Schizosaccharomyces pombe: one gene and its partner. The protein of the gene in region 1 interacts with the protein of each later gene in a pairwise test. Each region holds a gene or a part of one and is shown in the gene's direction. Other genes may lie near its edges. The genes, in order: sec18 and mug24.

Region 1 (15,208 bases):
TTAAACGTGGTTCGTAATGAAGTATTTAGGAAGCTCTCAATCGCTGTACCAAATTTAAAACACATTTGTATACAATCTGAACGGCCAAACAATTGCTGGTGTGGAAAATAGTTCTTACATCAGTTGATATCCATACTTATTTACGTGTAATTTTAATTAGATGAATTAATATTTTCTTTATTAGCAAAATTCCCATTATTTACCCAATCTTTATAATAGTGTTTTGAAGGACAGACTTTCTAAAAAAACCCCGAGGTCACTTTTTTGACACTCAATCACACTTGCTTCAAAACAGTCCATTTGCAAAGTAGCAGATGTCATGTTTGCAACCTCTTGAAATGCAACTCCAAAACGATTGTGTCCATGACCGTCGTCATCATCGTCATCTTCATTGCTAGTAAAAGCGGAAGTAGAAGTTCCAACTATTAAGTACCTATTTTTTTCCTCTACAAAAGCTGCTAAAACAAGAGGAAGATGTCTAAGCTTTCCAAATTCTCGTTCTTGCTCCTTCAAGTGTTAGTCAAACGTTAAAATCAATAGACACTTACATTAATAGCTTCAGCAATCCAAAGACTCATCTTTGTTAACGCAAGGGGATGCATAAATATTTTCAGATCTGGTCCTTCGTTGATAAGTCCAAAACGAAAAGATCTCAACGTTTTAATGGCTCTTTTTTCAAGTAAGGTGATTCCAGTACGAACAATGGCTCTTTGTAAGTGCATTGCTAACTTCAATGCTCTTTCTAATGAATCGACATCGTCCAAGGCGTCGTATGCATCATAAAAATTGTGCAACCATTCTTGATTTTGAGCATTTTCAAACTTCTCCAAATATTCTTCCTCCGTCATATCCGGGCTTCGAGCGACAGTTTTGCTTTGAAGCAAAACACCTGTATTACCCATTTCTAATAATGCACTGATAGCATAAGAAACGTCACTTGCACTAAGTGTACATTTGAATCCATAAGTCCGAGTAAAACTATGGAATATCACATCGTCTAAACCATAAAACGGTGCAAATCTTTTAAGACTACTTTTCAAAGTTTTTTTTAAATCCATGTTCATGTGAATATAAGTTTGTTTACACTCCACCAGACTGAGTCCCATTTTTGCAAGAAGCTTATGTAGTCGTTTGCGTCCTTCCTCGCTCCAAATGTGAAGTCTCGAACCAACGTAAGCAGAATGAAGCATAGAATCATAAAGACTCCAATGTCTTACTAGCATAAAACGAAATTCATCTTCAAGCCGAATTGACTGATCATGGGGTGTCTTACCATGTGCGCGACCGACTATTTGATTTTCAAGTGGTGAAGGGTTCAAGCGATTGACTTCATCTTTCAATAAAGAATAGGACCTATTGAAGTATTTTTTTGAGGATTGGCAGTGAATTTCCAAGCAGGTGAGCCCAACAATCGCTAACCACAACATGTCATTATCCTCACGTCCAAGCATGGATGCTACTGCAAACAGGATATTGGTAATTGACTCGCCGTACCAACTTCCTTTCTCATAATATTCAGAAAGGATAGAGGCGAACTCTTTCCGTTTTTTCCTTTTCTCCTTAATTTCAGCTCGACGTTGCGTCGTTTCCTCTGAAAAACGCCTACGACTTCGTGCTTGATAATCGGATGAGCTGTAAGATTCCACAGATCGGTTGTCATCTTCGACTTCCTCCTCTCGCTCATTACTGGAATCGGAATTTTCTTCATCTGATAGCTCATGCGAATTAAATGCATACCAAGCATCATGAATTTTATTCATGTCTTCTTCAATATCTCCATCGTCGAAAACAAAAATATTGTTTTCAATGTATATATTATTTAGATTATGCGGCCTATGAGAATCAATTACATAGATAGATACGTCTTCCATAGAAACAAGATAATTATTTAGATCCACCATCGTTCCACAATTCAAAAGTATAATGAATTTGATATCTTCATTTTGCTCTAGCAAAGTTTTATTTGCTTGTTCAAGGTCTCGATAGCCCGATACAGGCCTAATTTTATGTGAAATAAAATCGCCTTTCAAAAGTGTGGACAATAGCTTGCATGCACAAAGCGCGTCTGGGTCTAAAGCAACAAAGAGCTGAACTGTGCATCCACCAGATACACTTGCTTCTTTAATTTTCAAGTAAGCAGAGGCGTAATCGGATCTCTTGATGAACATTAATAAATAAACGTTACTGGTGGTGGATCATGGAGGAAATTACCAGGTGGTCAGTACAAAGGAAGGTAAAGCACTTTGAGTCGCTTTATATTTCCTAAACAATAGCGCATTAATATACAAGTCAAAGCTACGCAATAGTAGTTACAAAAAAAAGAAATTTTTGTAGGCATTGCAAACAACCCTTTCTCATTTTATGCCAAATGCCAAAAATCATATTATAATTACTCTAGTTACTAAATTTTTCACTTGAGCTACCTAAACTATCGTAAAAATAATTTGTAATCGCTGTTTTCTGGTGATATAATCCAAGGTGAACATGTGCACAACGAATTTATTCCGAGCGTTCGAACATTTCGTCTTTGAATCAGTGTAATAAAATCTTAAATTAAAAACAGCAGCAACTTAAAATGCGTTCCATATATACAAAGATTCGTCCCAACCAACACTTGCAATCCAAGATCCATCGCCGAAATCACTCCAATCAACATCACGGACAAATTCAGAATGCAAATCAACTTTTCTTATGCAAGAGTGCTGTTCCGGGTCAAAAATTCGAGAAGTCATATCGTAACTTGCTGTAGCCAAAAGATCATGGGCGGAATTGGACGATTTTATACTTCGAACAGCAAGTTGGTGACCAGACAATACGGACAGAGGCGTCTTTAAATTCGCGATATCGTAACAGTAAACCAGATTGTTATTGTCGGCCGTGTAAACCATACGATGATTAGACTTGCTCCAATTCATGCAAGTAATTTGATTCGGTATTTCAATGGACATAAATTTATCGGAAGACCGGAAATCCCAAAATTTGCATAATCCATCACTTGATGTATACCCGAGTAAATTTGGAGAGCTATAATGTGTAGCAACTGTAAGAATCCTTGAATTCGAACCATTGTTGAGCGTCTGCACACTGTTAGGCAAATTGCCTAACCATAATTTGATAGTCCCATCCCAGGAGCCCGTAACTACAATTCTTCGATCAACCGTATTTGTGTCTATTGCGACAATCTCCGCTTTATGCTCTTTCCATTTATGGATGGGCTTAGAGGGCATAGTCAAATCAAATAGTCTCAAAGAACCATCACCACAGCAAGCGTAGACTTGATTTTCACAATTCTGAGACCAGCGCACACCAAACAAAGAATCCTCGACATCATAGCTAGTATTTAACGTTAGATAAATTTCATTTCGTAGGATTTAGAGACTGTTTTCATCATAATAACTAATGGTTAAAAGTGTTTTGTGCAAAAGTCTAATAATGAAGAGCAGTAATCGCACAATTACTTACTGTTGGCAAACTTGAATTCCTTTTGGCGTAACATCATGAATATAAAGACGTCCGCTTCCGCCTAATCCATAATGGGTGACAGCTGCAACAGCGATCTTGTTTTCGACAAGTGGAGAGAATTGAACACTTTCACCTAGCGAATATTGTTAGTAACGATGTACAATTATGCATTCCAAGATATTTATTTTGTTTTGTTTTCTTTTTTTTTTTCCAATAAAAAGGAAGGAAAATTAAAAGGAAACAAAACAAAACAAAACAAAATAAAATAAAATATAAACAAAATAAAGAAAATATTCAGTAATAACAAAATTTCGTATTTCTACATCATTTGAATTTAGTTTAGTTATAGTTCGGTAATATTCGTTCATTTTATTTGTATTTTTCTCAAGCAGTTGTACTATCGCTAGTACTAGTACCATATAATATTTTGTCTTGCTTCGCTTCCCTTTATTTAGCTTACCTTGAAACCCAGGAGTCCTCAATGACAGCATGGGCAAATAAACACAAGCACGTTGCCCTCGAAGAATTGCTCGTTTACAAGAAAAAAATTCCAGTCATGAAACGGAATTATTTCGCAGCTCGGCTTAGATATTTTTCTTATATAGTTTTGCCAATAAGTGTTTCTACTTATGCTCCAAGCAACTTTTGCTTTTTGCCCCGTCTCGTTTCTGCTCTATTCTGCTTGGCTTGGCTTGGCTTTGCTTTGCTCACCAAATTTTGAGAGCGAAGCTTGTTTCCTCAACCCAGCTTATATATATCAAAAAATATATTAAATAACTACACTACCAATTTAGAAAAATGATAAATCATAAGGCGTGAACCAGGAGAGAAATACAATATAATTGGCTCCTTCACAAGCTAGCTTCGATAAGGGTGGGAAAAGCCGAAAGTTTATGAAATTAAGGTCGATTTTCTATATACCATATGATATTCGCCAGACGATTGGTACTTGAAGTAACTTATGTGTCAAAAAGAGCAAGCGTATTGAATCTGAAATCTGAAAATGACCACTTTCTAAGCAGGCCTAGAATATCCGAGTCACTGCCAACATCAGGGGAGGTGGGGATAGCTAAAGTACCTGCGAAACTTGCAAGTGCGCTGCCGCCTTACTCAGTCTTTGCCCCCGTTTCCCTTAGCTTTGTAAGAATGAATTGCGGATAACGTTAGGACAGTGTAGCTCGGGATAACTAGTTTGCCTGTAAAAGAACAAATAATCATTTGTAAGGGACCTTCCTTCCAAGTCATCAACACTCCATCCCATCTTACCTCACTTTCTCCTCAATCAGATTCAAGAAATGGCTGGCTTCACTTGTGACAATAACAGTGACTCAGGTGAGATATCGAATAAAATTCCATTCCCTAATAATCGCGTTTGAACATTCGCGAATCCTAGATTTTGGTCTATTTACCGTTATCATGCCAATTGAAAAATTTGTGACAGTATGACAGAAATCCGTTTCGTTATGTGAAAAAGGTGACATTAGCAAATCAATGGCCGTTTATACGACAGCAAAAACTCGGTACGCTAATCATTGATGAAATGGAAATCAAAATTCAAGACTTTGCCTCAATAACATTCATTAGAAAGGTGTGTAAATTTTTTAAGGAGACGAGGCGCTGAAAATTTTTTTTTCTACTCCTACTATCAAAACTTGCTAACACTTCCTCCAAACACACTCTTTTTTAAGTAACACTTTTTTTTTATTTCTTATTTATTTAATATTTTGAGTGGATGATCACCCGTATTCGGTTAGTAAAGTGAAGCTCAAAAGAATGATGCGAATCTCGGCAATTAGCGTCAAGCGGCAACGTCTATAGCGGTCGTATAGCTAAGCTAAACAAGAAGCGAGATCTTTCCAATACGGATGTCATTAAGCTACCGATTCTTAAAGCGAAGACATTATCACTCATGACACATAAAATTTTTTGACGTTATTATACGTTTAATAATGAATAAAATAAATTTATAAATAAAATAAAATATATAAATATACAAAAGGGGGAGGGGAAATCCCTTCAATAAACGACAACAACAGTCTGCAAGAAGGTTTGTCTTATTGGAAACAGTTTTCCTATCTTAGAAGGCTGCTAAAAAAATAGTCACTTGCATGCTACAATAATTGCACGCGTAAAGAGGCTTTTGCAAGAAGAGAGAGAAAAAAATTTTTTTGCCAAATGTAAATTGGGAAGTAACATGGCTTCACTACATCTCGTCCTAAAATATAACGACATTGGAAATTTATGGCTTAATTATGATTACGCAATCAAACGGTAAACGTATACTTCACTATTCGCTAATCTGTATTTCGTACTCCGTTATATTATGTTTTAGTAGTAGGTGGAAAGCGTTACGTTTACTGAAAACGATTTTCCATTAACAAAGCACTCAACAATGGACTCAAGATGGAAACTTCCATTCATGTCCAATAAAGGGACACCAGAGCAACCTATGAGGAAACCACTAAGTGGCAGTTATTCCCATAACAGTGCTGGTCCTACACCCAATATGAGCCCCTTTGAGCAAAAACCACCGCTGCCTACACATATGGATGTTAGACGCCCTTCAGGTCCTTTTCGGATCGTCAAGGCGACTTCTACCGAAGATGCTTTAACCAATTGTATCATTGTTTCTCCCATGGACTTTAAGCAGCAGTACATTATTGTAGACAACTCTCGTGTGTTCAGCACTAAACCCGTTCCTGGCTTTCCACAGGGTTGTCTTGGCGCTTCCCAGCCCCATCGCGAATGGGCTTCTTGGTCGCTAAATCAGCAGGTTCATGTTGCCGACTATGATCCATATGGTCCTCATGGAGCTCCTTATCTTCATAGTATGACTTTGGAGGTAGACTTTCAAAATAGAAATCGCACCACTAATGAGCCTTTCGACGGTGAAGAGATGGCCAAGTTATTTTGCTCTAGTTATCAGAGCCAAGTTTTTTCTCCGGGCCAGAAAATTGTTTTCGATTTCCGTTCTTACAATATAAAGGCAACCGTCCGTACTATATCTTGTGTCGATCTTTTAATTGGTGAGAATCAAGATGCCGAAAATACTGCAGATACCAGCAAACGTGGTCTCTTGACTTCCCAGACCGAAATCCAATTTTTTAAAGCCGCTCACTCTGCGTTGCGTTTGAAAGCTAGCATGACAAGACCTGCCTCTAATGCCATTCTTCAGCCAGGCTTTAAATTTGAGGACATGGGCATTGGTGGTCTTGACTCAGAGTTCAGTGCTATTTTCCGTCGAGCATTTGCCTCTCGTCTCTTTCCTCCTGGCATGGTTGAAAAGCTGGGTATTAATCATGTTAAGGGTATTCTCTTATATGGCCCTCCAGGTACTGGTAAGACATTAATTGCTCGACAAATTGGTAAAATGCTAAATGCCCGTGAACCGAAAATCGTTAATGGTCCTGAAATTCTAAACAAATACGTCGGTCAAAGTGAAGAAAACGTTCGTAAATTATTCGCCGATGCTGAACGTGAGTATCGCGATCGCGGAGAGGAATCGGGTCTTCATATTATTATCTTCGATGAATTAGATGCCATATGTAAAAAGAGAGGAAGTTCTGGTGGTGATACAGGTGTTGGCGATCAGGTCGTTAATCAGCTTTTGGCTAAGATGGATGGCGTTGATCAACTGAATAATATCCTTGTTATTGGTATGACTAACAGAAAAGACATGATCGATGAAGCTCTTTTGCGTCCAGGTCGTCTTGAGGTTCATATGGAAATTTCACTTCCAGATGAACACGGCCGTTTGCAGATTCTGAAAATCCATACGTCCCGTATGGCTTCAAATGGTATTTTAGAGAATGATGTTGACATGGAAGAGCTAGCATCTCTTACTAAAAACTTTTCTGGTGCTGAAATTGCTGGATTAATCAAGAGTGCTTCAAGTTTTGCTTTTTATCGCCACATCAAGGTGGGAACCACTGCCGCTGTTTCAGGTAATTTGGAAAATATCAAGGTGAATCGTAACGACTTTTTGAATGCTTTAAGTGAGGTAAGACCAGCTTATGGTGTGAGTGAGGAGGAACTCGAAAGCCGTGTGCAAGGTGGCATTATCAATTTTGGTAAACACATTGAAGAAATAATTACCGAAGGAAAATTATTTGTTCAACAAGTTAAAAACTCCGAACGTACACGTTTGGTCAGTGTATTATTGTCAGGCCCTATAGCGTCAGGGAAAACTGCATTGGCTGCCACGATAGCCCTTGGTTCTGAATTTCCATTTGTTAAGCTCGTTTCCGCTGAGTCCATGGTAGGAATGAATGAAAACGCTCGAGTAGCTCATGTCAATCGTGTGTTCGAAGACAGCTACAAAAGTCCTCTTAGCGTCATTGTAGTAGATGAGATTGAACGTATTATTGATTGGGTACCAATCGGACCTCGATTTTCTAACACCTTACTTCAAACACTTATGGTTCTTTTCAAAAAGCAACCCCCCAAGGGTCATCGATTGCTTATTTTAGCAACTACCTCTGAACGTACTATGCTCTCTCGAATGGATATGACCCAATCGTTTGATGCAGAAATAGCAGTTCCTAATGTCTCCAACGTTACTGAACTGGACCGCATCATACAATCAATAGATTCATTTGCAGACAGCAATGTTCGAGCTGATACATTACAACGTTTGCAGAACTTTACTGGTACTGATGCTGTCAATGTCGGAGTAGCCAAGATTCTTATGATAGCCGAAACGGCTAAACAGGATGTAGACGTTGTTTCCTGTTTTGTTGAAGCCATGGCCCGTGCTATTCCTATGGAATAGCAATGACACCTTTTTAATAACTGAGACGTTTTAGTCATGAATATTTTCTCAAGGTTTTTTATATTTTATACCGTTATAGATTATAGTTAATGAATACACCGCAATACTGTATGAATATTAAGTTAAAAGATGTTCGAACCTATATGTAACGTTAAAAAAATTAAATCATCTTGTTAAATGAATGCTTATCAATATAACTTTATAGCCTTTTATAGTCAATTATCCATAAATAATCATTTGAAGCATTGTAAACAATTTAAGCATACTACATTACTCCCATACTGAGAGGCACAATTTACCAATTCGCTATTTCCACTCCACATTGACCCGGTTCATATTCTAAATCTTTAATTTCATCAGTCATAAATAGTAAAGGACATGGAAATTTAAAAATCGTAACATTCAACTCACATACTTAATTCTAAAATGAATATGCCCTCCGAAATACTACTTGGTGCAAGACGCTGGTTTGCTTCAACATCATTTAGTCTAGCAGCTGTATATGATGCTCCACTTAAAAAAGCTATAGGAAACATTAAAAAGTTTTCGATTGGATCATTAGGTTTAACTTATATGATTTCTCCAGTGATGCTTTTACTTGATGCAGGAGGTTTAAGTTTGGGAACGAGAATGTCGATGGTTTTCTTGGGTATGTTTCATCAAGAAATCGGATTACCAAAATTTCCAAAGCAAATTTATTAACATGTTAGCATGTACTACTACTAGTTTGTCGACTGCAATAATTCACTGGGCTGCTAAATCTTATGTTTCGGAGGCAACGTTAAAGGGAAACGTGCTATCTTTAAATACATTTAATATTCTAGGAAAAAAGCGCTTATCCCAATATACTTTAGACAAGCTCAAAATCCCTGATACCAACAATAGTCGTCCATTCGCAAACCTTGAAAGCACTACTGTACCCAAACGATATTTTTACTTGCACCCAGAATTGGCTACGCCAATTTTTAATGCTATACGGCAGGCACAGCAACCTAAGCAAATAAACAAAAACGATTCGAAATAGATATCATAATAACTATATAAGTTTTTTAATATAAAATTCAATGTATTGTAATTTAGGTCTTAATCGAGTTTGAAATGTAGAACGAATAAAATAATGCTCATCTTTTGAATAAAAAAGGGAGGAAAAAAATGGTAAAGATTGATTAATGAAAGTGTATGATATGAATAAATAGTACCGTATCCGATTGTTCTCGAATATGTGTGAATTATCTGACGACAGTGTTTTAAAACTTCATTTCAAGTCCTTTTTTAGTTAAACGGAATGCTCTTCCACAAGTAGTCATAAACGAATCAACCAGTCCGGCTCCTATGGCGTCGCAAAGTCGAAACTTCCAACCAAAAAATGCTTCGTTCTTCTTTTTGCAAGCTACCGAAACATTGCGATTATATAGTGACGATTCAATTACTTCGCGGTACGGCCTCTTTTTTAAATAATTTGACAAGTCGTTTCTGCTGTTACGCAAAATATGAGTAAAAATGCCAAGGTTGGGTAATGAGATTCCGTAAGAGTCAGTGCCAGCAAGAATAAGAAAGCCCATACTAATCAGCAGTCGTCGTTCCTCCCAATTAAATTTCAACTCCTCGGATGTGTAGGAAGGTAGTGGATTTTCAATCAATAGTTTATGCAACTTAAAGATTAGCGTATAAATATGTTCCTGATCTTTGAACTTGCACAAATAGTATGTAAATAATTTATCAAACTCAGGTCGCAAAATTAAGCAAGACTCACCACAGAACTTGTCAGATCTATTTAGGTAAAGACGACGGATGTCTCCTGTACGTATAGATTGTTCTAACTCTTCAGCAACACTGGTATAGTTTGATTGAAATAAGCCTATCAACTGTGTTTCCACAATCATTCGCGGACACTGTGCAACTAAAACATTCGTTTGCTGGCGCATTTGAATGTCACGAAACATTTCCTCAACTAAAACTTCTATAGAGTTTCGTATCGTTTTGTTTCTTAATACAATCAATGGAGGAACATTGTACGAAATGATGTTTAATGGTGATTGACCAGTACACATAGATGCTTTAGAGTGGTTTTTTTCAATTGCTAAAGAAGTCTTTCTCCTTTTGCTAAACAGTCTGTCTATTTTAGTCTGTCCATTCTTCTTTTTATTTATTTTTAATAAAGCAGGCATTGCCAAGGTAGGTAAGGGAAGTAACTTACTTTACAGAAATTTCGTTAGTCGAGTTTTCATCACCTTCAACATTTAACGCAGTGATTTTTTAATTGCCAGCTACGCAGTTTAATAACTATTTTAACGATACGAAAAACTGCAGTGAGTTTTCCTTGCGACTTATACAGTAGTACAGGAAAATAAGTAGCAACTCGTTAAAGATATTCTAAATTTGGGGTTACAATGTAACCTATTAGTAAAATAGTTTATAGTTGGGCTAAGGAACGAGGTTTAGTGGTGGCTTCATTATAATCTTTTTAATGGTTCATAACAGTGGGAGTCTATTTAAATTAATAAAAGGGTGGTTATCGGCAATTATCAATACACGGATTGAACTAAAATCCTAACATATGGCATACAGTGAGTGTTGCACAACTGTAGTGTCAGCAATACTACACTACGCTATGATACATTACGTTGCGTATCACTATATGTCATATGTTGGAATACTAGCTAAGATCCGTTTATTGATAATCACGGGTAACTATCCGTCTATATACATAGATACCCGTTGATAACAACTATTTAGAAATATTATAAATAGCGTTACAACTGAACCTCGTTCCTCAGTTCAGTTATGAGCTATATTAGTGATAGGTAACATTATAACCCAGTTAATACAATACCTATACTCAGTTGCTACTTATACAACCTGTGTATTGTAATATAATAGACCACAAGGAAAACTCACCGCAGTTCTACGTATCCTTAAATCAGATACCAAACTGCGTAGCTTACATGTAGCTAGTGTAGTATTGCTGACATGTAAAATAGTAATACTATATAACGTAGTATAAGTATTGATGCATTATCTAATCGGTTGTAGGCAAAGCCAGTAATTGAACTAAATATACTTTGTACGACGAAAGGTATTGATACCAACCAAGAACTTGTTTTTTCTTTCTGGACTGGCTTATAGCATTCCCCTTGGAATTAGAATAAAAATCCTGTCTACACAGTGAACAAATATATGTAGTGATGCATAGTGAAGTGTAGCATAATTTACGCTTATGGTAAGGGAAAAAATTTGCTCCAGCAGTGACTTGAACACTGGGCCTCTTGCTTACTAGGCAAGCGCTCTACCACTGAGCTACAAGAGCTAATTACGAATTACCTAAAGTTTGCATTTAACAATGAGAATGTATCCTCGAATTGATTATTTGACTGCTTCCTATACTTTAATTTGGTTTGTATTTCAAAACTGATTGATTAGCACACAATACAATTTTTTTTTTAACTTGCCAATAAAATACACATTACATTAAACAAGGGGAATATGTGATATTTAATATTATTATACTGGTTCTGGGCGCTGGAAATATAAATGCATTAAAAAGTTAATAAAATAAAATATGAGATGCTTAGATAATTATTATTTTGGAAAATATTCAAAATAAGAAGTTGTCAATTTAAATAAATATAGGCACTAAATAAGCTTTTGATCAAAACAAAGAAAAAATATAAAGTAAAAATAAAAGCATTAAAACAGTGAGATCCTTTCTAAAAATACAAGCAAAAGTGAGTGAAGATTAAATATCAAATCATTTGTGTAACTTTGATTGGTTCGTATAATTAAGTATGCCAGATATGATTAAGGACAAGTGTTGCAAAGTAATAGGTTTGGCAAGGTAAGAATCAAAACCACTATCTTTGCAGCTTAAAACAACATGAGGTAAAGCATTCGCACTAAGTGCAACTATAGGAACTTTAGGGTAATCGTTTTCCAATTCGTATTTACGAATTTCATTACATGCCTGGTAACCATCCATAACAGGCATTTGTAAATCCATTAGAATAAGAGAGTAAAAATTAGGCTTTTCACGTTTCCATTCTTCAACACATTGCAAACCGTCCATGGTGACCTTGAATTTGACACCAATTCTTTCAAGGTAACGGCTTATAACCTTAATATTGATAATGTTGTCTTCCGCCAACAACACGCTAAAGCCAGACTTTGCCAGATTATATCGGAGTGTTTCAGCATCAGCCTTCTGCTCCATTGCAGCCTTTCGAGTCATATCATTAAGTGCACCGATTTTCCCCTTTTCCTCAGAATCAGAATAAAATAATGGAAAAAACTTGGATGGTTTCACAAGTTTTAAAACGTAATGGATGCTTTCCGAATTACAATCCTCGCTATCTGAAAAAATCTTAGATAATGATTCTTTTTGTCGAGTGGAAGTCACCAAAATAAATTTTGTATCCTTGTATAGACTACAAAGTTGCAGTGATTTGACAAATAAAACATATGCTTCTATGTCCGGAAGATTTAATATAATATGGGTGACCTTGGATTGCATAGGATTCTCTAGCAATTCTTCAAAGGCTTCATAGGTATTTCCATACCTTACGATATCTTTAAATGAGCTTATATCGATAATTGATTGAAGCATGTTGCCAATCGCTTCACTACTGTATTTAGTGTGTGATACAACAACGGCTAAAGCACTTTTATCCAACTTGATCCCAGAAGGTTTGTTTCTATAGAGTCTCCAAAATAGAACTGTGTATGGATCAGCAGATGCGCCGCATCGACAAAATTCCGATTCAGAAGCGAAAGGATTCACATATTTGTTGGATTGAACATTTTTGTCCGATTCAAGTTTACGTCGGTTGCTTTCTCTTCCGGGATCTGCTTTATTTACGGCCAATTTTACAAAATTCGTCGCGCTTTTATCGTTTCCATCGTCTGCGCAATAATAGTCTTCTGTGCTTTGTTTGCTTTTTTCGTATGGACAAAAACAGACTGGACAACAACCATCTGGGGGTTCAAATTTTAGAGGAGTTTTATCCATTGTAAACGTTGCAGTCCACATAAAGCGCGTTCCCACGCCTCTTCTACTTTGACAGGACATACTACCATTATGTAGCTCAACAAGCTCTTTTGAAATAACTAATCCAAGACCTGAGCCACCATGTCTTGGTAATGTAGAACTCTCTACTTGAGAAAACGGTTTAAACATTTGTAATTGATCATCTCTGTTAAACCCTTGACCGGTATCAATGCATTCCCACTTTAAAACAACAGTATTGGTTGAGTAATCAATCTTTTCAACGGAACAACGAGTAAAAACTTCACCAACATTCGTAAATTTAATAGCATTTCCGATCACATTCAAAGCAACTTGCCTCATTCTCATATTATCCCCAAATACTATATCAGGAACATCAATGTCAACCGTGTAGTTCAATTCTATTCCCTTTGAAAAAGCGAGGGTACCTAGAGTTTCGTTTGCATCTTCCATCATAGCTCGTACAGAAAAGCGTTGGCTAGTTAGCTTCATCATTCCAGCTCTGACTTTACTAAGGTCCAAAATATCATTGATAACAGTCAAAAGAGACTTAGCTGATTGCTGAATAATACGTGCATAACTCAGCTGTTCGGCAGACATTTGAGTTTCCAACAAGAAGCTTACCATGCCTGTAATACCGATAAGAGGGGTTCGAATTTCATGAGACATATTGGAAAGATACTGCATTTTGCTCCGAACAATTCTTTGAGCTTCAATGTTAGATTCTTGGAGCTTTTCTTCCAACATTTTATGATCGTGAATATCAGTACAAGTTCCTAACCAGAGATTAGTAGACGTATCAGCAGAATTATTTACGCAAACAGATTTCACCAAATGCCATCTATAATGACCATCGGTAGATCTAAAACGTATCTCCGCCGCAAACGTTTTGGTACCATTACTTTCGTCTTGGTTATTAAACGTTCCCTCCAAAGATTCAGGCAATAAACATTTCTTGCGATCAGCGTGATATACAGCAGATAAAAACCCAAGTCCCAATGAAGATTCCAGTGAAAGACCTGAATAACTTAACCACTGCGCATTTGCATAAATAATTCCATTTTTACCATTTGCGGCAAAAACAATTTGAGGAGAAGCTTCAGCTAAAGACCTGTAGCTGTTTTCATTTGCGGCTATAGCTGATTGTTTTTGTAGTTCTCGTTCTGCCAACTTTTGATCATGGACATCCGTCATTGTTCCAAAAAAATGTAGCACAGATCCAGTGCAATCCCGTAAAGGAACCGCGCGACAGATAAAGTATCGATAAACATTATCAAACCTTTGCAAACGAATTTCATGATAAAAACCACTACCAGAGAATAATGAAGATTTCCAGTCATTTAAAAAGTTTGGCAGATCATCAGGATGAATTCGACTAAATTGTAGCTCTATTTGCTCATTCATATTTAAACCACAGTAAAGAAGAGTTTTTCTATTAACCCATGTGAGTTTTCCACTTCCCGGATCCGCAGTAAACACATGAACCGGTATAGAATCAATTATAACCTTTAGTAAGGGAAAAGGAGGCGCTTGACCACCACAATGCCCTTGCACATACTTGTGAGATTCAGAAGTGCAACAGGCATATGATTTTGATTTATCTAAAACAATTTCATCCTTCTTTAGAGTAATAGTTTCATTTGAATAATTTTCACCATCATTTAGCGAGAATCTCAAATTCTCGTTCACTTTAGAATTCTTTTTGCTAATTCGAGACTTCAATCTAGCTAGCAAACGATGCTTCTTTAAAGTAACCCATGATCGCTGGTTTTTTTTAAAAAATTCAGAAGGAACTGGTACAAACCTAGGCAATTTAGGTATGTTATTAAGAGAAGATCCTTTAGCATTGATATTGCAAAAGCTGCCTACGCACTCTCCTTCTTTATGAGGACAATCAGAGTTTTCGGAGCTCGCGCTCATACTCAACTCCTTGGTATTGTCAGTGCTAGACGTGTTAAATAATAGATGCCTTTGTG
Region 2 (16,434 bases), on another chromosome or scaffold:
AAATTTCGACGTTGTTTTTCATGGTTGCAAACAATGGTTTCTGCTCGCCTGACCTTCCACAAGAAGGAAAATCAAATAGTGGCGAATTAGAGTCTGGTACTGGTCTCGGTTCCGGTGTGGGAGCTGAAGATATCACTAACACGTTAAATGAAGACGATGACCTTGAAGAACTTGCCAACGAAGAAGATACGGCTAATCAAAGCGATTTGGACGAGTCTGAAGCTCGAGAGTTGGAATCAGATATGAATGGAGTAACAAAGGACTCTGTAGTATCGGAGAACGAAAACAGTGATAGCGAAGAAGAGAATCAAGATTTGGATGAGGAAGTCAATGATATCCCTGAAGATTTGTCTAATTCACTGAACGAAAAACTCTGGGACGAGCCCAATGAAGAAGATTTGCTTGAAACTGAGCAGAAGTCAAATGAACAGTCGGCTGCAAACAATGAGAGCGACTTGGTTTCAAAGGAAGATGACAATAAAGCATTAGAAGATAAAGATAGGCAAGAGAAAGAGGACGAAGAAGAAATGTCAGATGATGTTGGTATTGATGATGAAATACAACCTGATATTCAAGAAAATAATAGTCAACCACCACCTGAAAATGAGGATCATCTCGACTTACCTGAGGACCTCAAACTAGACGAAAAAGAAGGTGATGTTAGCAAAGATTCAGACTTGGAAGATATGGATATGGAAGCAGCTGATGAAAACAAAGAAGAGGCAGATGCTGAAAAAGATGAACCTATGCAGGATTTTGAAGATCCTTTGGAAGAGAACAACACTCTGGATGAGGATATCCAGCAAGATGATTTTTCTGATCTGGCTGAGGATGATGAGAAGATGAATGAAGATGGCTTCGAAGAGAATGTTCAGGAAAACGAAGAGTCTACTGAAGATGGAGTAAAAAGTGATGAAGAATTAGAGCAAGGTGAAGTTCCCGAAGACCAGGCGATAGACAATCATCCTAAAATGGATGCGAAATCTACTTTTGCATCTGCAGAAGCTGATGAAGAAAATACAGATAAAGGCATTGTTGGAGAAAATGAAGAATTGGGTGAAGAAGATGGAGCAGCAGAATCTGGAGTTCGAGGTAATGGAACTGCTGACGGAGAATTTTCATCAGCAGAGCAAGTTCAGAAAGGGGAAGACACTTCAACCCCTAAAGAAGCAATGAGTGAGGCGGATCGACAATATCAAAGCCTTGGTGATCATCTTAGAGAATGGCAACAGGCCAATCGTATTCACGAATGGGAGGATCTTACTGAATCGCAAAGTCAAGCATTTGACGATTCTGAATTTATGCATGTTAAAGAGGATGAGGAAGAGGATTTGCAAGCTTTGGGAAATGCCGAAAAAGATCAAATTAAGAGTATTGATCGAGATGAGTCTGCTAATCAGAATCCAGACTCAATGAACAGTACAAACATTGCTGAAGATGAAGCTGATGAAGTTGGAGACAAACAATTACAAGATGGTCAGGATATTTCAGATATCAAGCAGACTGGTGAAGATACCCTTCCAACGGAATTTGGGTCTATCAACCAGTCTGAGAAGGTTTTTGAATTATCGGAGGATGAGGATATTGAAGATGAACTTCCTGATTATAATGTGAAGATTACTAACCTTCCTGCTGCAATGCCCATTGATGAAGCTCGTGATTTATGGAATAAACACGAGGACTCTACAAAGCAACTTTCTATTGAGTTATGTGAACAGCTTCGATTGATATTAGAACCAACCTTGGCCACTAAGATGCAAGGAGACTTTCGTACGGGTAAACGGTTGAATATGAAACGAATCATCCCATATATTGCTTCTCAGTTCAAGAAAGACAAGATATGGATGCGTCGTGTTAAACCTAGTAAAAGGACGTATCAAGTGATGATTTCCATTGATGATTCTAAGTCGATGAGTGAGTCGGGCAGCACAGTTCTAGCGTTAGAGACTTTAGCTTTGGTAACAAAAGCATTATCATTACTTGAAGTTGGACAAATTGCAGTGATGAAATTTGGGGAGCAACCTGAATTGTTGCATCCTTTCGACAAACAGTTTTCATCTGAAAGTGGTGTACAAATGTTTTCGCATTTTACATTTGAGCAAAGTAATACCAATGTTTTGGCTCTCGCCGATGCTTCTATGAAATGCTTTAACTATGCCAATACGGCTTCCCATCATAGATCTAACTCGGACATAAGGCAGTTAGAAATCATAATTTCAGACGGTATTTGTGAAGATCATGATAGCATTCGGAAACTGCTAAGGCGTGCTCAAGAAGAAAAAGTGATGATTGTGTTTGTTATTCTTGACAATGTTAACACCCAGAAAAAGTCGTCCATCCTTGATATTAAAAAGGTTTACTACGACACTAAAGAAGATGGTACTATGGATTTAAAAATTCAGCCATATATAGATGAGTTTGCTTTTGATTACTATTTGGTGGTTCGTAACATCGAAGAATTGCCGCAACTTTTGTCTTCTGCACTTCGTCAATGGTTTCAGCAGATGAGTAATACTTAAATTGTACAAAAGCTTTGCAGTTAAGACTTGCAGAAAAAAATAATCGGGTTAGGTTTTGGGATTATTTTTGGTACTTATACATACTACGATTTAATAAATTAATTAATAATAGAAATTCATTGGTATGGAATTTAGTGATAAAATTTTTAGTACCATAATGTTTCTGTGAAAGGAGCAGCATTACTCACAATCAAAGTTAGTGTATTTTAATTCTCCTTTTAAATTAGTCATAACTACCAAAATTAGTAAAGGCTTGTTATTATGCTTAGATTAATGAGTTTCAGCAGAAGTTTTTCCCATTGCTTGTTGAAACCACATTTTTTTGTAAGCTCCGCCGTCACGCTTTATTAACTCTTCGTGTGTGCCAGTCTCAACGATTCTACCATTCGAAATACAAAGAATTAAGTCTGCATTGGTGATGGTGGAGAGCCTGTGAGCGATTACTATAGCAGTTCGGCCAGATGCAAGTCTATTCAAGGCTGCCTGGATTTGTCGCTCAGTATTTGTGTCCAGAGCAGAAGTAGCTTCATCGAGAAGGATAATTGAAGGATCTTTTAAGATAGCTCTGGCAACTGCTACACGTTGTTTTTCACCACCGCTTAACTTTAAGCCTCTTTCTCCGACACGAGAATTATAACCATCTGGGAATTGTAATATACGATCGTGAATTTGAGCAGCCTTAGCAGCAGCATAAATCTCCTCATTGGTCGCAGAAGGTTTAGCATATTTAATATTGTAAAGAATAGTATCATTAAAAAGGGTACTATCTTGGGGAACTACACCTATTGAAGATCGAAGACTAGACAACGTAACATTTCGTATGTCTTGATCATCAATGGTTATGGATCCCGAGTTGACATCGAAGAATCGTAAAAGAATTCTCATAATTGTAGATTTCCCACCACCTGATTCTCCCACTAACGCAATAACTTTTCCTGGTTGTGCAACAAAATTGATATCTGATAAAACAGGTTTTCGTGGATCATATGCAAATGAAACATGAGAGAATATTACCTTACCTTGAGTGACTTTAAGATCTGGGGCATTTGGTTTCTCCACCACAGTAGGTTTCTCCTCAAAAATTTCAAGTAGTCTTTCTGTATCGATGATGCTATTTTGCAATGAACGATATAAAGTTCCGAAAAAATTAAGAGGCTGCTGTAGCTGAATCATGTATGTCAAAAGTATGACAAAATCACCGACAGTGTTAAAGCCGAATGTTACTCTATAAGCACTTAATAGACAAGCAATTGCCAAGCTGAATGTAAATATTCCACCTTGAACGATATTTAAAAAATTAAGGCTAAATAGTACCTTCCGCTCTTGCTTAAGATAAATATCCACAGCATGACCGTATCGTTCATTTTCAAAGTCATCTGCATCAAAATTTTTAACGGTTTCGAAATTCATAATCGCGTCATTTTGCACAGCATAACTCTCGCGCCAGCTATTAACCATCTTTCTTCTAGCCTCGGTACGCCAAGATGTAATTTTGACCGTAACGTAACAGTAACAAAGTGTCATAATTAACACAATAAGCGTAAAATAAATGTCAAACTTAATAAAAAAGTATACCATGGCTACTCCCAAATCCAACAAAACAGGCCCAATCTGAAACACAACTTGTTCTGCAAACGTATTCAACGAACTTCCTTTAGTTAAGGCGGTCAAAACCTCACCAGCACGTTTATTCAAATGAAAATCGTATGACAGGTTTAGAACATGTCTCAAAGCCTTAGTTGATATCGCTCTATAAGCATATTGAGAGACAGGAACCCATAAGAAAGATCGAAGAGAACCAATTACTCCCATATTTCCTTGCAAAAAACGATAGATAACGAATAGAATAACATCAGACCAAGGAATTTTCTCACTATGTTTTGTGAGCTTTTCAGTTAACACACCCAGTTGTCGGGGAGCAAGTATGTTAACAGCTCGCCCCAAAAAGAGTAAAACTATGCAAATGAAAATCTGAAACTGAAGTCGGTAATCTTTTGTCGGCCAGAGATAGGGAAGTAAAGTAGAGAAAGAACGGAAATATTCTGCCCAAGATTTATCACTAGGTTTTTTCGATGTTGATTTGAGTGTACCAAAATTCGAGGTTGATGCCGATACACCGAGCTGAACGGTCGAGGGATTTTGAGAGATAGCATTCTCATTAACGTTTGACTCTTCTGTTAATTGACGCTCCTCAAAATCCAGGGGATCGTGCGTATGTCTCTTTCGTCTATAAGTTAGATATATAGCTGTAGCGAAAACACATAAGACCAATCGGGCTACATGGTCCGCCAATACAATTCCTTGAAATGTTTCATTTGGATGAGGACTGTAGACAATGAAAATTGTTTCAAATACAATGTCTATAGCCCAAACGTACAAGACGCTAAGGCGGTAGGCCTTTAGTATGGAATCCGCATTTTTTGGAAGAGCTTTAGAATCTGCGCATGAGATAAGTACAATTATCCAAAATAAAAGGAAGAGAATTAAACAGACAACAGTGGTTTTACAGGGCCACCAATTTGGAACTCGCAATGCGTAGATGACAAGATTGCTGATATCAACGACCTAAAAATGAAATTAGCAATATGAAGCGAGGTTAAACAATTAAACATAAACATTTTTCTTTCAAAATATACTTATATATATATATATATATATTTTTTAAGAAAAATGCTTGAAATACGTACGTAGGTTAATGCAATTCCCAATATCCACCAGGAAATTATTCCTATAGGTTCTTTGCCGAAGCGATTTTTCCTACGATAAGGATCAGAAGTAGCTTTCCTTTTCTGCAGTAAGTTCAAGGACCCAATACTAAAAAATCCGACATATAGAAGGACCAGCTCAAGAATATTGAGGCGTGGGCTGTTGTAACGTAGAACCATTACAAAAAAATCAAAAAAGAAATGCCAGTTTGATTAATAAAACTTTAGGTAAAAGTAACTTGATAATTTTAAATTGTTACTGCTTCAATTGCTAATTTGGTTTGACTGAGGTTAAGTGGTGTAGAGGTTAAGAGTGACAATGGTGAGGTAAGAATACCTCCTATACGGTACCAAACTACCCCACTTACGGAGCCTTTCGAAAGCAGAAAATCAGTATGAATTTTGTATATTTTGTTTCAACTTTTTTTTTTGTTAAGAGTCTTAACCTCCTTACAAGATCGTAGCTTAAGGCATACATCCTTCATCGGCCACGATAGAGGAACAAATAATGTACTTACTTGTATTGAAAGCTTTACAAATTTCAACGGCATAGTAACAACTTGTAAAGGGTCTTCTTAAAATATAGATAAAAGGCGGCTGAACTTGATGTTGACTGGCAATGTTGGGTATACAAATCTAAAATTGATGAGCTTGAATGCAATAACCTAGTATCTGGAACCTTCGAAAAGTTTTAAAGAAACACGTAACAAATCCTTTTTATTTGAAGAGGCTTTCAAGCAAAAGTTACAATATTTAATTGCATAACACACCTTCAAACTCTGACTTTCGCTAACGGCCTAGAAATGATAAACTCATTAAAGACTTCTATTTTTTAAAATTAATATTTTTAATTAATGGTTGAAATATTCAGAAGAACTTCAAATTTAACTACTTTTAACTTACTGACATCGTTATTTTCTTTCCAAATTTTTTTATCAGATCAAGCCTCAACGTACATCATTGTGACAGAATACAGTCTACACCAATTTATGAATAAGCATTAAGTATAGCCCTAGCCGAACTTTTTTACTATCTAACGAAACGCATCACATTATATAATAGGCTTTATGAAGCTAAAACCTTATGAACCACAATGTCGATAACTTCAAAACAGCAACAATCATGCTAGAAGTGGACGGGCAATTTGAAGCATCTAACACAGTATACGTAATTCTTTAACAATATTTTTGAGTACTCTTCGTAAGGTTGATGGTATTGTTGCCTTGGATCAGTATTTGCATTGCTCGGTATAAGGGATATGGGGGATACCTATCTACTCTTAATTTTGCTCTGGCAGTTTAAAAGGCGGGGGAAGGCTGGCTAATCGTAAATCTTGCACCCAAAAAGTCTATTGGCTCTCGAGGTTTTTATTAAAGGTAATTTCAAGGCTTAGAAATGGCTGTCTACCAGCCCTTTATCATGACTGTACTATTCGCGAGGAATTGGTGGTAGTCACTGTGCAGTCATAATAAGAACCGAATAACTTAAAGGGACAACTATGATTGGACGTAAGTAATTTTAACTATTAAGCCTCGCTAAAATAAGTACATTACGTCGACTTTAGCGAAGAGTGGCAGCGGATTTACCGTCGCATTCGTCGTTTGTGGGCCATCCTGACGTTTTAGAGTTGCAACTTTGTGCCTTTTGATTCGTCCTTCTATTTAAGAAATGTGGGACAGCTTTGCGGGGAATGCTTGCGAAAATAGCAATGTTTACATTTGAAATGGTGCTTAGCTGTTACGAAAACTTGACACGATATGATTTTTTTTATCTATAAATAAGTGTCCCTCTCACCAGTTTTGACCATCGAATACAGCATTTAAATCGATACTAATTTTGAAGCGAAACTCATCAGTCTAAAGCACTCTATATTTTGAAGCATCCATATTCTCACTCAATTCTTTTTTTTTAACACTATAATGGCTATTATGCACAAAATTGGCTGTGCCGGAAGTGAAGTTGAGACCGACCGTGTTCTTGAAAAAGACCAAGCAAACAACGGTCACTTCGTTGATAGTGATTGCTGCTTTCAAGAGACAGGAAGTACTGGCACGGCCAACAGCATTTGCACTTTAAATGATTCAGAAGATGATAACAGTAGTCTTAATTCAGTGGACAATAATGAATGTACCAACCTTGACTGTGGTGGTAAAAAGCACAAAAATCTTTCACCTAATCCTTCTTTCCATGTAAACATCAATGCCGCAGAATTTATTCCGAAATCTCATAATGGGTATGCTCCTAAATCAATGAATCCCCCTCCCGAACAACTCGATTCTCCTTGTTATCCTCATTTTGACCAGGACTCTTCTTCAGTCATTTATCCTTCTCCACCTTCAACCTATTACCCCAACATGTATGTTTCAGCAAACACCTTCATACCGATGCCCTATGCCCACTATACCGACAATATGTATCATGCAAAACCTGTAAACCGTCCAAATTTCCTACCTCGAGAAGGTACTCCTCCTCCGTTTGCCCAACAACCTGCGGAGCAATTTTCACCATTCAATTCAGAATACGAATCCTTGTTAGATTTTCGTGCTTTAATCCTTGGTAACTTGCCAGTTGACTACAAAATTTCCGAATTACTTTCGCTTATCCACTCTGGACCATTAGAGAAGATTCAGTCCAACCCTGGAAAACGCAGGATTATAATTACATTTCTTGATTCTGCTGATGCCTTTTTCTTTTATGAAAGGTACCATCCTCGTGGATTCATTTTTCATGGTAGGCCACTCAAATTGACATTTGCTAGACCTTCTCCTTTACCTGAATCGATTCAAAATTTTTGCTCGAACACTGCGGCCAGCCGTAATGTGTTCATCGGCAATCTTCCTTCTTCTTATCACGAGAAGGAAATTGAAGAAGCGTTTGGTAAATTCGGCAAGATTGAGCACATAAAAATCCTCTCGAAAAAGAATATTGCTTTTGTTCACTTTTTGAACATCCGCGACGCAATCAAGGTTGTTCGTACCTTATCTTGCGATCCTGACTATCACTCATGGCGAATATTTTTTGGCTCAGATCGCTGTGCAAATCATCCACCTTCATTTGATGAAAGGTCATGTTTCACTTCCAAGCAAAATCCGGATACCACGTCTGACCGTTGCAGGCAGCAGGAATCAAAAGACAATGGAAACCGTACTGTCTTCCTTGGCAATCTCCATACTAAGACTAAAGGACATGAAATATGCGATCTAATCCGACATGGAGGGTTACAAGACTTCCACTATATTCCTGAAAAACATATATGCTTCGTTACATTTATAACGTATTCGGCCGCCAACGCTTTCCACGACTACTTGGCTGAGGAAGAAGTTTTATTACACGGTCGAAGAATTAAAGTAGGATGGGGTAAAGAAAGTGGACCTTTGCCCAGAGTTTTAGAAGATTCTATATTGATGGGCGCTTCCAGAAATGTTTACTTCAGCCATATATCAGATTCACTTACTACCGAAGAGTTAGAGCTCATACTGCGTCAGTATGGAGAGATTGAATCAATTAAATATTTAAAAAATAGAAGTTCTGGATTCGTTGCCTATACAAATATATCTAATGCCATGAAGGCTGTCAATGGCTTGCCTATACATCCTTTGTTCAAGAAGAGCAAAATCCGCTATGCTCCTGATAGATGCGAACAAGAGCTTCAAAAGTCTAAATCCAACTCTCCTATCCAACAGAATGTTCCATTGCAGCAATTTATTACTCCACCGTTTTCATATCCTGTAGCTTATTGTCCAGCAATTCCTCCAGGTTCGGATCCAATATTAAATTTTGGTATCCAGTATCAGCCCTTTATCCCCTTTACAGCCGTTCCCTCTTTTCCTTTCAACTGCAATGTTCCGAACTATCCTCAAACATCCGACCACGAAAACGACTAGTTCCAATACTCGCGAAGTAACTTTTGTTCATCAGCAAGTCAGTATGTTTCCATTTATTTTTGCTTATTCTCAATTCTACGGGTATTCACTCAGCATGCAAATTTAGTTTGTAACAGAGACTCCCAAAAACTTAACACTAACTCCTCTGAAAAAAACTTGAAAATTGTCCAAACCTAACTAAACATTGCCTTAAAAAAATCTAAAATTCCAAAAAAAATTGAAAAAGAAAAAATTCAGAAAAAAAACTCTTTTTATTCTTGACTCTAATTAAACCTTATTACTGAAAGTTTTTGATTTATCGTTTTTACACGTTTTGATTGTTTCCCACCCAAATTTGAAATTTTTTTGCTTTGTCACATTACTACTCTTCCGTGATTTCCAATGTCTTCTTTTAAATTATGTAATTTTTTGTCTTTAAAGAAAAATTACCTTCAACCTTCTGAGCAGAGTTTTATTCATTCAATGTGTCAATTAGTTTTTCAAACCATTCTTCTATCACTAAGAGAAGCCGGTCTGTGAACTTTTACTTTTCTTACCTATTAAAGATTACTTACTTCTTGCTGATGAATTCATGAACCCTTCTCGATCCGTTACTTCATGGGTAGTTTGTTCATTTACCATTATCCATTTTTTACTATTACCACAATATTTTCCCATTTGCTACTGTTTCCGTTGATGCCGGTTTTAAGCTAACCCACCAGCCAATTTTGCATTTTTCCAGCTTGCTATCATTAAACCAACTATTCTCACTTATACACATTATCATTGTACTATCCACTGACGAATTCTTTACTATTTCTCCCGTTTGATTACAGCTCAGCTTTCCAGAATCATTGTTATTGTTCCTCGTCATGATCACTATTATCCTTTGTTCACAACCAATTAATTGACTATCTTCATTCTATCATTCCATCGACCCCATCACCAGTTCGTTTACCATTTGCTTTCTTGATAGCATTCAGCTTGATCACACTAATTTTATTTTTTTCTTGAGCTTCCATATTTATCGCTTATTCTTGCTTTTACTATTCTAGGATTAACGTACTCACCATTTTCTTTTCTTTCAAAGCTCAATTATTGACGTTACTCCCAACACTTTGCTTACTACCGTTTTTTGTTATCATAATCGTTCTGTCATTTCATTTTGTCATCACTATCCTTGTCCTTATTCCGTTTTTTTTGAGATTTTTGTTTTATCATTATCATTATTCGAGTCCGACACCTTCTTTGTCATATTTTCGGTTTACTTTGCCCAATTCCTTCCATCAATACATTGTTTAATTATATTTTCCATCCATCATTGCTGTTAATTAATTACTATTACGATGATTAGGTCTACGGTATCATTATCATCATAATGATCAATGAATAATTTCATATTTTGTTTAATTCAGTCTAAAAAAATAAACGAAGACATGCCTTCTACTTATTTGATCCCATGAGCAACTTTAGCCATCGTATATGATCCTAGACACTTAGAATATGCAAATCATTAATGGCTAAATTCATAATTAAGAGCTTTTTGCGTTTGGATACTCTTTTAATAATTGTATCTTTATAAGTAAATAGTAAAGTAAGAACACCTCTTAGAAATATATGTAATGTAAGCACAGTTAGAAAGCTGAGATTAAATCTTAGAAAAGTAAACTACTGAACGCAAGATTGATTTCCTTCCTACGCTTTGAATGTTTCCGGTGCACTAGTACTGTTTTTTTAAATATCTAAAAATTTAATGAAAATCAGAAATCTTTAGTAAAGATTGAAGACTACAAGATTTGGTAAAACAGCCAAACCTCAATATTTATTTTGTTGTTTACCTTTTTGAACATTTAGCGAGACTCGCTTCACTGCCATACACCACCATATGAAGGGTATGATTCTTATGTTTATCCCTCAACACAAATCATCCTTCTAAGTGCTTATATTAGTGCCAAAGTTGGAATTGGCACGATGTCTATTGCATCTGTAAAAACACCGTCTTCTTTGAGAGAAGCTCAAATTCGTAAGTAGTGTTGCTAATAAAACTGTATAATTCTCAGTAAGCATTGCTAATATGAACCTTTAGAATCTTTAGAAAAACTGCTTAATTTGAACCAAGACGTCAACGAACTTGAATCAAGCCCTCAACATGCCTCTAATTTTCCCATTTGGAAAGTTTTAATCTTCGATAAGGCAGGGTCGGAGACTATTTCTTCTGTTCTCAGAATTAGTGATCTCAGAAAACATGGCGTTACGGTTCACATGAATATCACTTCGTTTCGTCAGCCTATTGCTGATGTCCCAGCTATTTACTTTGTTCAACCTACTCAAGAAAACATTGAGCTAATAATAGAGGTATGGATTTCTCAGTATCATAATTTTCAATCAATTAATCTTATTGTCGGATACCAAATACTTTTTTGTATTACAGTTCAGCAAGCTAACATATTTTAAAGGATCTTTCGAAGGGTCTTTACGAATCAGCCTATGTCTGTTTTTCATCTACCATTTCTCGTGCTCTTCTGGAACAGTTTGCCGAATTGGCGTCGAAAACAAATACAAGTCACATGATTCATCAAGTGTATGACCAGTATCTTAATTATGTTGTGTTAGAAAGTGATTTTTTTTCTCTTCAACTGCCCAAAATCTTTCATACGTTCCATAACCCGTCTTCAGATGAGGCTCTCATTAATTCACGCGTTCAGGATATTGTAAATGGTCTCTTTTCAGTGATCGTTACACTCGGAACCATTCCTATCATTCGTTGCCCACAAGGATCGGCTGCTGAGATGGTTGCCCAAAAGTTGAATCAACGTCTAAAGGACCATTTAATGAATACCAAGGATGCTTTTGTTTCTGTTAATCCAAAACCAAGGCCAATTCTTATTTTACTGGATAGAACGGTCGATTTGATTCCAATGATAAATCATTCTTGGACTTACCAAGCTTTGATTCATGATACCCTAAATATGCAACTCAATAGGATTACCGTAGAGTCAGTCGATGATGGAAAAATGACAAAGCGGTTTTACGATTTAGATGGAAATGATTTTTTCTGGGAAAGTAATGCTAGCAAACCATTTCCTAAAGTTGCCGAAAACATTGATGAAGAGTTGACTCGATATAAAAATGATGCTAGTGAAATTACCCGAAAATCCGGTGTTTCTTCACTTGAAGAAGTTAATGTTGACGCATTTGCTGATTCGACTTATTTAAAAAGTGCAGTTAGCTTGCTCCCAGAGCTTACAGCTCGTAAACAAATCCTTGACATGCATATGAATATAGCAACTGCATTATTAAAAGCTATTCAAGAGCGCCATTTAGATGACTTTTTTCAGTTAGAAGATAATATAACTGGACTAAACAGAAGTGCCATTCTCGCTTGCATCAATAACAAGGAACAAGGAACTCCCGAAGACAAGCTACGATTTTTTATAATTTGGTATTTAAGTGTTGATTCCGTACCGGCTTCTGATTTGCAGGCATATGAAGAGGCGTTGGTTAACAATGGCTGTACATTAGAAGCATTAAATTTTGTTAAGAGGTATACTGATTGATGTTATTGGTTTTTTCTAACTTATATTAGGGTTCGTGAAATAACTAAAATGACCATGTTAGCATCTTCTACCACAAGACCAGCTACGGGTCAAACAGGAGATAATTTATTTCGTGGATTTAGCAGTCTTTCCACAAGGGTAAGAATAGTTTGACACTTTTTCACCTTAAAGCACATATTAATTGTTTTTAGTTTACCGACCGCTTTAAAGAAGCCGGTATTGGTGGCCTTGAAAATATTATTTCGGGGGTTAGAAATCTGATTCCCTTCAGGAAGGATGGGACTATTACATCTATTGTTCAGAGTCTAATGGACCCTGGCTCTTCTCCTGCCTCCAAACAAACAGAGTCTTATCTATTATTAGATCCCAAATCAGCTCGTGCTATTACTGTAAACAATGATCCTAGGGCCATGAACAAAAGACAGACTTTTAGTGAAGCAATTGTTTGCGTACTAGGAGGTGGTAATTATTTAGAATATGGTAATCTGGCTGATTGGGCGCGTGAACAAAATCCTAAGAAGCGTATCATATACGGTAGTACCGACATATTATCGCCATCTGAATTTATGGAAGAAATGGCTTCTCTATCTTAAAAAATTATTTAGTTTTATTTTTTGGCCATCATGTTTGTTCAGCCAATATTGTATGAAATAAATGATTTACTCTTAATTTGATACATGACTTTTTTGTCGAATTTGTGTAGTCCATCATCGTATTGAAAATTTGGAAAGCATCAATGTTCATTATACGCAAATCGCGGTTATTTGTAAACGACATATACTTTCAGACCAAGAGCTGAGGGAACAGAAAAAAGAAAATGTAATTGCTGTTCTAAAACTCAAACAAAAAAAAAAAAAAAAAAATTAACAAAAAAAAATTTCAAAAACATATAATTCATAAGATTCTCAGTTATAACTTAAGTTAGACATGGCTTAAAATATGTAAGTTGTGAAAATCTTCAGTTTATATAGCATTCGAGTAATTTGGTATCGAAAGAGATGGATTTTGTAAAACGTTTGATGAAGCATCTGATATAGAAGATGACAAATTAGAAAAAATTGAACTTAATTGCGAATTCGAAGTAGCTGAGTATGCATTCGTGTTATTTTCAGAAACTTGCTGCACTAAACCATTAAATCCCAATTCAGTTGTTGCTTGAGTGTCAGACGAGACTAGCTTGATGTGAGCAGGAGGACGAGAATCATCGAATTCTCGAATAACAGGCAAATCCAAAATAATGTTAAAAGTGGAGATATCCTTACTTTCATTCTTCTCACGTTCTATTTCGCTAGTGGCTTCCGGGGTCAAATTCCGTTCATTCCCTCCACATTTGTATCCACGAGGATGGATTTCATCTTTAGAAATTTCAAATTTTATAGGAACTGGTTTGTACCAAATAATTTCGTTTTCTACATCGTCTTCAACGTGGCTACCAAACGCTACACGAGCTTCCTGTCTGTCCATATCCCTAGCATTTCCATAGATGTGTGGTGTTTTGACTGACGCGGCACCTTCCTCATTAAGAGATTCAATAAATTTGACTTGAACAAGATCGTTATCGGGCTTCCATGAAACGGACTTCTTCTTTCTCTTTTTGTTTCCTGTTTTCTCATCATTAGAAGCAGGATCACTACTGAACACTGCATTCTCAGCTTGTAAAGATGCAATCTCCTCACTTTGCCTCGACGAAGAGGAACGCTTCCTGAAGCTGGGCAATTCCTCACGATTATTACTAACATTTTCTGAACTTATTCCAGAATCCTTGTCCTTTTCCTTCTCCCGTCCTTTCAAGCCAGCCATGATAGAGGAAAGAGGAGTAGAAGGGTTGGTTTGCTGTTTTGTCAAAGGCGCTTTTGTTGAAGAGGAGGCCGAAGTTGGTTTTGTAGAGCTTGCTAAATTTTTAAAGAAGGATGTTCCCGATATGCTGGTTACCTTTTTTTTAGATTTCGAATTGCTTGATTTAGTAGTTGAGGAAGCGCTTGGTTTATTAGACGCAGACGGGGCCATCGCCGGACCAGCCGGGGCCATAACGACTGCGGAAGATGAAACAGTCGAATCGTTCTTCGTAGAGCTCTTCTCATTTTCTCTATTTTGTTCAATAGTAAAACTTTTCTCGGCCAGTTCAGAAAGATTTTCAGCAAGCTGGCGTATAACGGAATTGGTAGACTTTTTTTTTACGATTAAAATTGGTTTGCCAAACTTAACCTCAGCTAGCTTCTCAGTCGTAAGAGGAAGATTAGCTAGCACGAGCAGTATTAAATGAATGAGTTCGTCGTGTTTAGAACGAATAGCTGATACAAACCAGTTACGTAGTTTAGGAAGGAACAATTTACGACCGCCGTCAACAAGTTGGCTATAAATACTATTCCCCACTTTGCTTTTAAGAAGATCTAGAAAAACTAATTTTTGATCATCTTGGGTGATATTGCTCATGAGATTAACAAGGATTGCAGCACATTCTTTTGGAGCTTGGACGATGTTAATTGGGTTTAAACACTCAGTCAGAGTAAGGCGCAAATCTTCTAACGGATCAGAGGAAGAAATTTTTTGACGAGATTTAGATTTTAATCGTGCAAGCATTTGAACGTTCACGTCTGATTTTGATGATGGTACTTCATGGGAGGCGGTATTTAAACTAAGGCGCTTCGTTAGTCATAAATAAATTTTTAAGGCAAAATAAACTTACGAAGATCCTGAATCCGGATTCCTTGAAGTATGACTTGGATTATTAACATATGGATTGGCTGAGATAGAGGTATGATTAGTATTTTGTGATTGAGAGTCATTGGAAGGAGAAATGCCAGGAGAACTTGGTTCCTTATTAGAGGACAAGGATTGTGATGGGGAGCCAGTTTGCGAAGATCCAGAAGATATGAGTGATGGATTGGATGAGGCAACTAAGATAAATATTAGCAAATTGAACGAATCAAAAAAGAAAAAGAAAAATTGAGAACATAGGAAAACTCAGTATAGTAGAGATAAAAATAAAAAGAATGAATAAACAAAAGAAAATATACCTGAAGGCATTGTAGCTAACAATGAAGCATCTTTATGTGACAGAGGTGACTGGGAGTGTTGAAACACATGAGGTTCTAAGCCTAAGGGCAACAATTAGTAGAATTCTAAGAGAAAGGATCAAAAATAGCAGAGAAAAAAGAGAGAACAAGCAATCAAGACATCACTCGCTACAGCCCGTAGAGGCAAATATTTCAAATTATTGACCAACTCTCTATCCCCGCTTTAATAGCCTGCATACCAGGGAAAGCACTCATTAACTTTTCATCTAAGTTTTCTTCTAAATCAGGACTCAGATTAATAAATTCCGGTTTTCCACTATACTCATTGGAAGTATGTGGAGGATTTTCTGACGTTTTACTTGTTTGTCTATCACTCGACACATTTCGCACGGAATTCCAATTATCCATTAATTAAATATCAAAGAGGTTCAAAGTAATACTCCGAATAAATTGAACCTTTCAGAAATTCGCACTGTGCCGATTTAATCGTTTCCTGAGGATATACGCTGAGAAAGGATCAACGTCGACTACTATTCAAGTAAGGAAACTGAACATGCAACTTTGTGAAATTCGTTGGAGTTCTCTAAACCCTTCGCTACACCATCGTGTATATTAATAGTTAAAACTAAATAAAAAAATATAATTTTAGTAGATTTTTAATTTTTTAATTATATTGACAATAATAGAAGACTTAAGAAGCATTTTTGGCGTGTGGGACTTGGTATGCCAAATGGCTTTCCAGCTGTAAACAAAATGATTCACCGTTTTTAGAT

The links.
Region 2: the proteins of sec18 (region 1) and mug24 interact in a two-hybrid assay, tested with the Schizosaccharomyces pombe proteins (one large-scale study listed by BioGRID).

The regions. Positions count from the first base shown.
Region 1 is NC_003424.3:4,711,763-4,726,970, reverse strand, and holds sec18 (secretory pathway protein Sec18), read left to right. Parts: upstream 1-5,835; 5' UTR 5,836-5,854; coding exon 5,855-8,233; 3' UTR 8,234-8,458; downstream 8,459-15,208. Other genes in the region: Golgi zinc importer, CDF family, Cis4, read left to right, coding at 1-111; DNA replication pre-initiation complex subunit Cdc45, read right to left, coding at 211-507, 549-2,168; pex7 (peroxin-7), read right to left, coding at 2,571-3,333, 3,463-3,595, 3,923-3,953; SPOM_SPAC1834.13 (uncharacterized protein), read left to right, coding at 4,387-4,623; SPOM_SPAC1834.10C (uncharacterized protein), read left to right, coding at 8,660-8,882, 8,944-9,257; mug51 (variant protein kinase 19 family protein), read right to left, coding at 9,481-10,401; phosphorelay sensor kinase Mak1, read right to left, coding at 11,982-15,208. UniProt on the Schizosaccharomyces pombe protein: Required for vesicle-mediated transport. Catalyzes the fusion of transport vesicles within the Golgi cisternae. Is also required for transport from the endoplasmic reticulum to the Golgi stack.
Region 2 is NC_003421.2:1,912,139-1,928,572, forward strand, and holds mug24 (rrm type RNA-binding protein), read left to right. Parts: upstream 1-7,143; coding exon 7,144-9,108; 3' UTR 9,109-10,595; downstream 10,596-16,434. Other genes in the region: mdn1 (midasin), read left to right, coding at 1-2,519; vacuolar phytochelatin and glutathione S-conjugate ABC family transmembrane transporter Hmt1, read right to left, coding at 2,790-5,084, 5,207-5,404; SNARE-binding protein Sly1, read left to right, coding at 11,059-11,110, 11,174-11,442, 11,544-12,631, 12,674-12,782, 12,836-13,237; ppn1 (cleavage and polyadenylation specificity factor complex-associated protein), read right to left, coding at 13,608-15,279, 15,331-15,541, 15,662-15,742, 15,901-16,069. UniProt on the Schizosaccharomyces pombe protein: Has a role in meiosis.